Saccharomyces cerevisiae S288C: one gene and its partners. The gene in region 2 interacts genetically with the main gene of each other region. Each region holds a gene or a part of one and is shown on either strand. Other genes may lie near its edges.

Region 1 (3,135 bases), on a different chromosome or scaffold from region 2:
CATTATCCAATGTGTAAAGGATCTTCAATGTCATTTGAGAGAGTTCAGACATTTTACCAGAGTCTTTTGTTCAAGTGAATACCAATTCCAATCCAGGTTTCAGTTGCACCTGGTCAAATTGACTTCAGTTATGTGTGTTGACTAGGTTCAGCTTAAGCGTTGCTTATAAAAGAAGAGATGTAGTAAAGCAACAAACTCACCACGGCTCAGTGCAATTCCCAAGAACCGAACTCTCCATTCAATGGGTCTTTCTCTTCACACACACCTTTTTTCTAACGCGACGCGTTTTTTTTACCTTTTTTATATCACGAAAAAAAACGCGACCGTAAATGAAGGTTTTTCCTTTCATGGAGCAGTTGTATCTATTGAATGAATTATATACCTTTTGCTGGTTTGGTCCTTTCGGATATGCATTTTTCAAATGTTTACTTTAGCGATTGAAGCTCTAACAGTAGCAATGTGATCTTTAATTTTTCAAGGTACCTTTCTACCACGAGCAGTGTACTTTTTTGTTGAGAAGAAAGCGCAACTACCGGCGATGACTGAGATGACTTTGCTCCCAAAAAAAAAATCTATATCTATACATAGTTCTAAATACTCGGGTATTCAGCTCTCCTGGTTCGAGAACTTGTTTTCAAGTTCAGAAGAAATTACTTCTCCCTCGAGGTTATTAACAACTCTATTGACAATACTCTTCAGATATGAATCGTCTTTCTTTTCACCCAAAATACTAACTGTATTGAATCCCATACCAAAATGTGGGTATGAGCCTATTTTAATGGCTTCTGAAACTTTTGTTGATTCATCCTGAATCAACTTTAGCTCTTTAGAAATTTGAGACTCAGTTAGGTGTGTTCTGACAAAATAACGAACATACTCACGTGGATCCTTGTCCAAATTATATATTTTTTTCAACGTGGGAGTGAACGCTTTCAGCATCCTTGCAAATAGTTGAGGGATACCGGGTAGTATATACATTTTGTGAGATATAGAACAAATAGGTACCCACAAGTCATCACACACATAATAATTTTTGACGTTTGTGCCTTTTGGCATGGTTGCCATTTGGTAATGCGCCTTTAGAGCATCTGCATCAAGCCTTGCTTCAGGGTCAGATTTATGCCTCATTCGTTCTTTGCATTCTTCATCTAGTTCACAAGGCAAATTAAAGCTTTTCGCCATACATTCGTAAGTGATGTCGTCATGAGTGGGGCCGATTCCACCTGTACTGATGATAAAATCATAATTTTTGACTAATCTTCTCACAGTATCTACGATCTGGGTTTCATCATCCCCTATAGTTGCAATTTCTTTTAATTGAATTCCATGATCAAAGCAATACTTCGCAAAAAAAGTGGAATTTGTATCAACTACTTTTCCATTCAGCACTTCATCACCAATTATGATACAAGCTGCAGTTACTTTCACCATTATACCCTTGACAGTATATACTTTGCCTCCTTCAGTAATTCTTTTATGTCATTATTATCACCAGTAATGACTGCTATTGTTATATCCCTCGCTCTTTCCTTTTTAGTCTCTCGGGCAGCCATAGTCGTTTTCCACGTATATTTTTAATAGAGAAGATCCTAAAACATTCAGTTAGAGTATTATAGTTAATGATTTATTTTATAAATAGTAAATGCAATTTGTATATAAAACGTACATAAATCAAATAGTAGGTATACGTGACAAATATAAGCGTATTGTCTTTCCTTTTTTTTTTTGGCCTTTTTGTAATTGTGAAATGCGTTTCGGGTATTTTCGACATTTCCCTCTCTTCTTCACTTGTTATTATTACTGTGGGAAGCTCAAATATGAGTATTCGTATGGTCGTGCTTAATAAGAACATCTTCTTTGTAGTTTTGTTGTCCCTTGATATGCTCATTTTCCTCACCATTTTTTTCTTCCACGTATTCAATATCCAGTCTTCTCAAATTCGATACTTCATTGGTTAACACATTACGTAAATGATGTGTCACAATTTCAAACTCGTTAACACCTAAAATATTGCCCCATTTTTGTAAAGGAACTTCCAAGGTTAAATGTCCGCGTAAATTCGGTCCTGAGGACAGTAACGTCAGTTCTTTCAATCCATAGGGTTTCTGAGAATTATTATTAGAGATCAGTTTGTTCAACGTATCTTTAACCAAAGTTTCTATCTCTAGGTAGCGTGGATCATCACGAGAAACTGACTGATCGATTAACTCCTTTATTGCGATGCACATACCCTCGCCACCAGCCTTGATAATTAAACCAGAAACAATTAAACCACCAATCGTGTCTAATGATTGTATATTAACCAAATAACCAGTACTGATTGCAACCAGAGCAACAAGAGAAGTTAATGAATCAACACGGTGATGCCAAGCATTTGCCATTAGTACATTTGAATTAGTGTTGATAGCAATCTTTCTTGTGGCTCTAAATATCCATTCTTTAGCTGCAATGGAAGCGGCGGCAATCCAGGCTGCGTTGATATCAGTAACGTCTTCAATAATGTCTTCAGAATAAGTATGAGCATGACCTAAGTTTCCTATGGTGTCAATGATTGTATGTGGGATAACAGGCCCTACGAGTGCACAAAGGGAACTCCAACCTATTGATATACCAGCCATGGCTAATATTGTTGAAACTGCCAAGGAACCAACAGTTTCAATTTTGCCATACCCATATGGATAATCAGCGGTTGGCTTGTTGGCTGCTAGCCCTACCGAAAGCAAAGTCAACAAGTCAGAAACCATGTCACTTATTGCGTGGATAGCATCCGCAAACAACGCTTGTGAATGAAATACGATACCTCCAAAAAATTTACCTATAGCAATACCAACGTTTACACCTAAGCCGACCCATGTGATTCTTACGCCTGCATTTTTCCTAATTTGCTCAGTACTAAGTACTAATAATGGATTGTGAGCAGCATGAGAATGCGTATGTCCATGAGAATGTGTATGCGAATGCAGATTCAACGACGAAGGCTTATCAGCTTGCTCACATTTACTGCTTTTGTAGTCTCGTATCGTGCCCAATGAAATTATGTCGTTTTGCTCGGTCTCTGATTCACGTAAATGAACATGATCATGACTGTTGAATGCTTCAGCTAATTTTTGGTATTGAGGATTTTTCTCCAATTCC
Region 2 (3,074 bases):
TAGAGTTCATCGAAAATTACTTTTACGAATTGAACCTGAACAATTTGCAGAAGATTGGTGGAACATTAGGAATTATCAACAATGTAAATTTAATAAAAGTTAATTTGGAGAACTTAACAGACATTCAAGGTGGCTTGATGATCGCCGATAACGAATCCCTCGAGGATATTACTTTCCTGCCAAACTTGAAGCAGATTGGAGGTGCTATTTTCTTTGAAGGTTCGTTCAAAGATATCATGTTCGATAGCTTGAAACTGGTGAAAGGTAGCGCTTTTATTAAGAGTTCATCAAACGTGTTGGATTGCAATAAATGGACAAACCCATCAAATGGAAGATCAATCATCAGGGGTGGGAAATTCACTTGTATTTCTGGTAAGAAGGAAAATACGCTGAATGTTAAACAGGATGGTACAATCATAGAAAAAGGGTACAAAGATTTAACGCAAGAAGGTGAAGACTCCAAGAAAAGAGTGATTTCAAAATACGCGAACTCAGCAAATCCAAGCATGCAATTGGACCCCCTTCTTTTTGGTACATGCCTTGTTGCTATGTTATTGTTTTAAGATTACTAGTCTAGTATAACAGAAAGTTTTTTTTGTTCCTAATATTATCTTTATCTATATACATATATCTCCATGAAAGGCATTTGAATTTCTATCTTTCTCTTTCAATCAAATATTGTCTTATTATTGATCAAATAATCGTATATGCACAATGGCAACTCGTCTTTCAAACTCTCCACTTGCCCATTCTTCAGTTTGTTCCTAATCTCGGATGATGAAACATTTCTTAATGCTGGATAATCATTTTGCATAACATGAATCCTAGCGCCCCATTCTCTTGGTATTACCGGTTCGAATTTTCCCTCAAGGATGTCACTGGCGTATCTTAGTTGCGATTCAGCACTGAGATGGCAATCGCCTCTCGCCAAGCAATATAATTGAGATCCCGACATGAAGCTCTCCATTACATCACTGATTTTTAAAGGATGATAATATTTTTCATCAAAGATCCTAGCAATTGTATCAAAACCAACTAAGTAGCCTATATCTGCACTGCATCCTTTAACAAATTGCTCATGTAATATTTTGTCCTTGTCGATGAATTTCGAGAAAACAGTCAACCCGACAGATACTACAGATTGGGGGAGCTTCTCCTGAAGGTAGTCAGCGAATAAGCACATCATTTCCAGACGAGTTGGAAAAGATGCCGGCTTAGGCAACTTATCTGCATTATTCACCGCTAACAGTAATAAAACATGCGAACGGGTGTCCTTCAATTTGAAGTTTTTAATAGTCTGCGATAGTAGTTGAAAATGGGCCAGATGTGGTGGATTGAATGAAGAATCAAGGACAAATAACTTCTGACATTCTAGATGCTGGGGTCCTTTGAGAACCTGAAATAGTAAATTGCTTTTTCGAAACTGCTCGAACGTCTTCTTCATATTAGTCTGCTAGTGCACGTACTGCTATCAACCGTCATTGATTAAGTGTCCATTTTCCAAAGAAGTAGGAGATTATATAACCACGAGTATGACGTCTTCCAGGGAAAAAAAAAAAAAAAAAAAAGAAAGCCAAAATAAGGAGCCTTGAAATGTGTATCTGATATATATAATGTGTATGTAAATATCTATTTAATTAGCCATTGGGATTTCAACTTCTTGTTTGAAACAGAAGGACGGATAAAATACGTGATCACCAACAAGACGAATATAGTAATAAGCAATTTACCCTTTTCGAAAGTAGGACTCATTAAATCAAATTGGCCCGAAGGTGTGATCCTTGTACAAAATACATCAAGGCCTAGATCACATATAATGCTTGTGGATTCCAGATTGGTTGGGATGGAGATCAACTGCGAATCGGATCCTGGCAATAGATTTCTGAAATGAGTGATAATGAAATTATCATTAATTGGGATAACTGGCGTGTATGGGGTAGCCATAAACTCTTTTTTCTTATCCTTGGCCATTTCTTCTGCTGGTTTACCTCTTGCATTCAATAAAAGCTTTGGTATGTAGGTGATTTGTCCATTTTCTAATTCCATAACGATTGCCTTTGTGGTAATATCATCCGTTGTCTTGGAAATGGACATTGTTTTGATAATCTCGGGAAAAATGAATTGTTTAGTTTGAAATTGAGGTTTGTTAATGTGTCCAGTCAATGGATCATAAGAAAAATTGTCGCTTGAGTTAGACAAACGCTCATCTGGGGTTAGTGACTCATATAATTCCACCACTACTAACTTTTGTTCTGGAACAGGTTCAGAACTGAAATAGGAATAAACGACCCAATATTCACCGAAAACAATATCCATTGGAAACCTAAAATCCGGAGAATCCTTGTGCTCTTGGGTAATGAGGATTTCTCCTGTAATGGTATCAATTAAGTTAAAAGTGATTGTATGATGTTCTTCATTAGCGATCAGATAAGCCGCTAGGTTGGGGTACAAATATTTATAAAGAACCGATTTGTCACCTAGTGTAATACCAAGAGTGTTTAGGTTTGTTGTTTCCCTCTTGCTATATGCCACCATTTTCTCTTTCGAATTTACGGCTTTTTTCCAAGTTTGTTTTACCGTATCGTTTTCGATTATGTAGCCATAAATGCCATTCGTGTCATGCTCTGTGACGAATATGTGGGAACTAGAATGGTTGTTGGCAACTATTGGTACATCCGTATTCTTGCCGGGATTCAATTTGAACAGTAAATGATCCTTATCCTCAAACTTAATCAGATACTGGTGATCATGTTCATTCAGCCTAATAACGGAATCAACAGTTTTCCTTTCAGATAGGGGGGATCTTGATTTGATAATCGGTTGATCTTTAGTAACTTCAATTGTCAAATAATGCCCATCATGCGAAAAAACAACAAGTTCGTCATGGTTTTTATCCGTCCAGAACATTTTGACGCCCTGATCAATTTCTAAATCGAGTTTCCAGATAAGTTGGCCCTTATTGACCATATCAAGGCCGCCGATAAAGCCATCATGCGTCAAAACAATTAAGATTTTGGCGAATCCGAACTTCAAATCTGATACCGTGGTATCCTTAGCGTCTAGAGCTAGGAGTT
Region 3 (3,331 bases), on a different chromosome or scaffold from region 2:
ATGATGATGTTAGAGAATTCTTTCTGAAAGCCTTCATATGTTTAATCTTGGATAGAAAGGTTTTTAACGCTATGGAATCGGACCATAGACTGTGTTTTAAGGTCCTGGAATTATTTAATGAGGCACATTTCATAAATTCATATTTCGAAATTGTGGACAAGAACGACTTTTTTTTACATTATAGGCTACTACAAATCTTCCCTCATTTACAAAGCGCCTTGCTCAGGAGACGCTTTAGTGAAAAGCAAGGTCGGACTGAAACTATACAGCAAAATATAATCAAAGAGTTTAACGAATTTTTTGATTGTAAAAACTATAAAAATCTACTATATTTTATTTTAACGATGTATGGCTCGAAATTTATTCCTTTTGGTCCCAAATGTCAAGTAACAGAATATTTCAAAGATTGTATTTTGGATATTTCTAATGAAACGACAAATGATGTTGAAATTTCTATCCTGAAGGGAATATTAAATTTGTTTTCTAAAATCAGGTAACAGTCATGATGACTGAACATTGATCTGTTGATTTGACCAGTTGACTGCTTCCCCTTCCTCTTCCAACTCTTCCATTTCCTTTATGGCAATAGAGGATGGACGGTAAACTTCAACGTCCATTATCAATGGAATCTCAAGGATATCTTTCAATATGGAAAATTGTTGCTTATTTTTGTGGTCCTTAGTAACAATATTTTCTGACTCATATTGGTAATCCTCTATCAAATGGATAACATGGCCCATCCCCATGCTCAACGCGCTCCGCACATTGCTTTCGTTGTCATCAATAAACCAGGCATTTGCAAAGCTCGACAACCCACTTTGCAATTTAGCTGTTTCGAAGAATTTTGGATCTGGCTTGCAAATGAATTCTTCCTCGATGGGTCTGTCGTAGTGGCAATAGGTTATGCCGTCAAATAGATCAGCAATACCTAATATTTTAACACATCTGATGGCATGATTTTTGTACGAGTTTGTAAACAGCCATAGTTTGTCAAATTTGCCGAGCTTCTTTTTCTTTAAATTGATCAGCAGCTCCCTTAACTTCCAATCAGGCTTTAAATAGTCTTGCAAAGGTAAGGAATCATCGATGAATGTATTATATTGTAGGACGTCATCAATTTGTTTATTCTTTATTAAACCTTTCACGGATAATCCATATTCTTGATAATACGATTCGATTAGGCGTTCTGCCTCATCGTCGTCAAACCCCAATTCGTATTTAAAGAAATTTGATAATGATTGTTGCATGAGCAATTGTACCTTCGTAGATTTTCTGTACAAAGTGTTATCGATATCAAAGAAAAATACTTTTCGAGCAGGATCCGGATCCGGTAATTTGGGAGGATCCACCTCGAAATTGATTTGTGAGCCTAGATGTGTCAAGCTTTGCAAATGCTCCTGATTTAGTCGTATCTGCTTTTTGATTTGGTTTCTATAAATTGTTCTGTAATCTTTAGCGATAGTCATGATTACGTGCGTATAAAACTTATGTGTTTTTTATCTACATTAAATCTTTTACCAACTATGCGTTAAACCGAGTTCGTATATACATATATATATATATATATATATAAACATATATTTCTATACATGTACGAATGTATTACATATGCTAAATGTATGTATATACATTATATGCACATCTCCTAATAATGAGCCATTTCAGTATTGCGGCAAATACGGAAAAACCCGCAGAAACGATCGTACAGATCCAAGAACTTGGTTTGTATGTGAAGCACGTTGCTGCCCCCTTTTTTTCTCAACCATCTCCGGCGGCGACCGCCGGCTTTTTTCTTTCTTTTTCTGGAAAAAGAAAAACCCCCTATATCACCTTTGACGTTTACTCACTAAATACGAAATGCATTACCCTAATCTCACTTTAAACGAATGAAAAAAGAAAGGTGAGGGGGGAGACCGATGGAAAAAAAAATAAAAATTTTTTTCTTTTTTTTTTTCTTCGTTCACCTCATCTCAATTAATGGCTTTTCCTTGACGTAGTTCAGGTAACTTGGTAGTGATTCTCTTATAAAAAAAAATATTATCATATTTAACATGTTAGTGCCCGTGTAGTTTTTCTTCTTCTTTCTTAACTTTTTTCTTGCAAAAATTGTTTTCTTCCCCTCAGTGCTACAAACAGTAACTTGACAGAACCAAATATGCCACCAGTATCTGCGTCAAAGGCCAAGAGAGATGCTAAGAAAGCTGAAAGAGAGGCTAAGAAAGCCGCTGCCGGTAAAACCATCAGAAAGCTAGGTAGAAAAAAGGAGGCTGCTGCTGAAGAATCGGAGGTAGATGCAGCCGCTAGAGAAATCAAGATGATGAAGTTGCAACAAGATAAGGATGGTCTTTCAGATCGTGTTGTCACTGGTGTTTTGAGTTCATTGGAGACTTCCCGTGATATCAAGCTATCTTCTGTTTCTTTACTGTTCCACGGTAAAGTTTTGATCCAAGATTCTGGTTTAGAATTAAACTACGGCCGTAGATATGGTCTTCTGGGAGAAAATGGTTGTGGTAAGTCAACATTCTTAAAGGCTCTTGCTACTAGAGAATATCCTATTCCTGAGCATATTGATATTTATTTATTGGACGAACCTGCGGAACCAAGTGAATTGTCGGCCTTGGACTACGTTGTCACTGAAGCTCAACACGAATTGAAAAGAATAGAAGACTTAGTCGAAAAGACTATCTTGGAAGATGGTCCTGAGTCCGAGTTATTAGAGCCTCTATATGAAAGAATGGACTCTTTGGATCCAGACACCTTTGAATCTAGAGCTGCTATCATTTTGATCGGTCTAGGTTTCAACAAGAAGACCATTTTGAAGAAAACCAAAGATATGTCTGGTGGATGGAAAATGCGTGTTGCGTTGGCAAAAGCTCTTTTCGTTAAGCCAACTCTATTATTGTTGGATGATCCTACTGCGCATCTGGATTTGGAAGCTTGTGTTTGGTTAGAAGAATATTTGAAGAGATTTGACAGAACTTTAGTTTTGGTGTCCCACTCTCAAGATTTCTTGAACGGTGTTTGTACCAATATGATTGACATGAGAGCTCAAAAACTAACTGCTTACGGTGGTAACTATGATTCTTATCACAAGACAAGATCCGAATTGGAAACCAATCAAATGAAACAATACAATAAACAACAAGAGGAAATCCAACATATTAAAAAATTCATTGCATCTGCTGGTACTTATGCTAACTTGGTGAAACAAGCTAAATCTAGACAAAAAATTTTGGACAAGATGGAAGCAGATGGTTTAGTCCAACCTGTCGTCCCTGACAAAGTTTTCTCATTTAGATTCCCACAAGTGGAAAGATTGCCACCACCAGTT

Evidence for each region.
Region 1: of POF1 (region 2) and FPY1, changing one suppresses a phenotype caused by changing the other (phenotypic suppression), as found in Saccharomyces cerevisiae (one study listed by BioGRID).
Region 3: of POF1 (region 2) and PHM8, changing one suppresses a phenotype caused by changing the other (phenotypic suppression), as found in Saccharomyces cerevisiae (one study listed by BioGRID).

What each region holds. Positions count from the first base shown.
Region 1 is NC_001145.3:616,775-619,909, reverse strand, and holds FPY1 (flavin adenine dinucleotide pyrophosphatase), read right to left. Parts: upstream 1,432-3,135; coding exon 607-1,431; downstream 1-606. Other genes in the region: SPT21 (Spt21p), read right to left, coding at 1-52; MMT1 (Mmt1p), read right to left, coding at 1,812-3,135.
Region 2 is NC_001135.5:42,994-46,067, forward strand, and holds POF1 (nicotinamide-nucleotide adenylyltransferase), read right to left. Parts: upstream 1,445-3,074; coding exon 668-1,444; downstream 1-667. Other genes in the region: SPS22 (Sps22p), read left to right, coding at 1-563; EMC1 (Emc1p), read right to left, coding at 1,630-3,074.
Region 3 is NC_001137.3:224,024-227,354, reverse strand, and holds PHM8 (bifunctional nucleotidase/lysophosphatidic acid phosphatase), read right to left. Parts: upstream 1,467-3,331; coding exon 501-1,466; downstream 1-500. Other genes in the region: Smc5-Smc6 complex subunit KRE29, read left to right, coding at 1-497; ATP-binding cassette family ATPase ARB1, read left to right, coding at 2,156-3,331. UniProt on the Saccharomyces cerevisiae protein: May be involved in phosphate metabolism.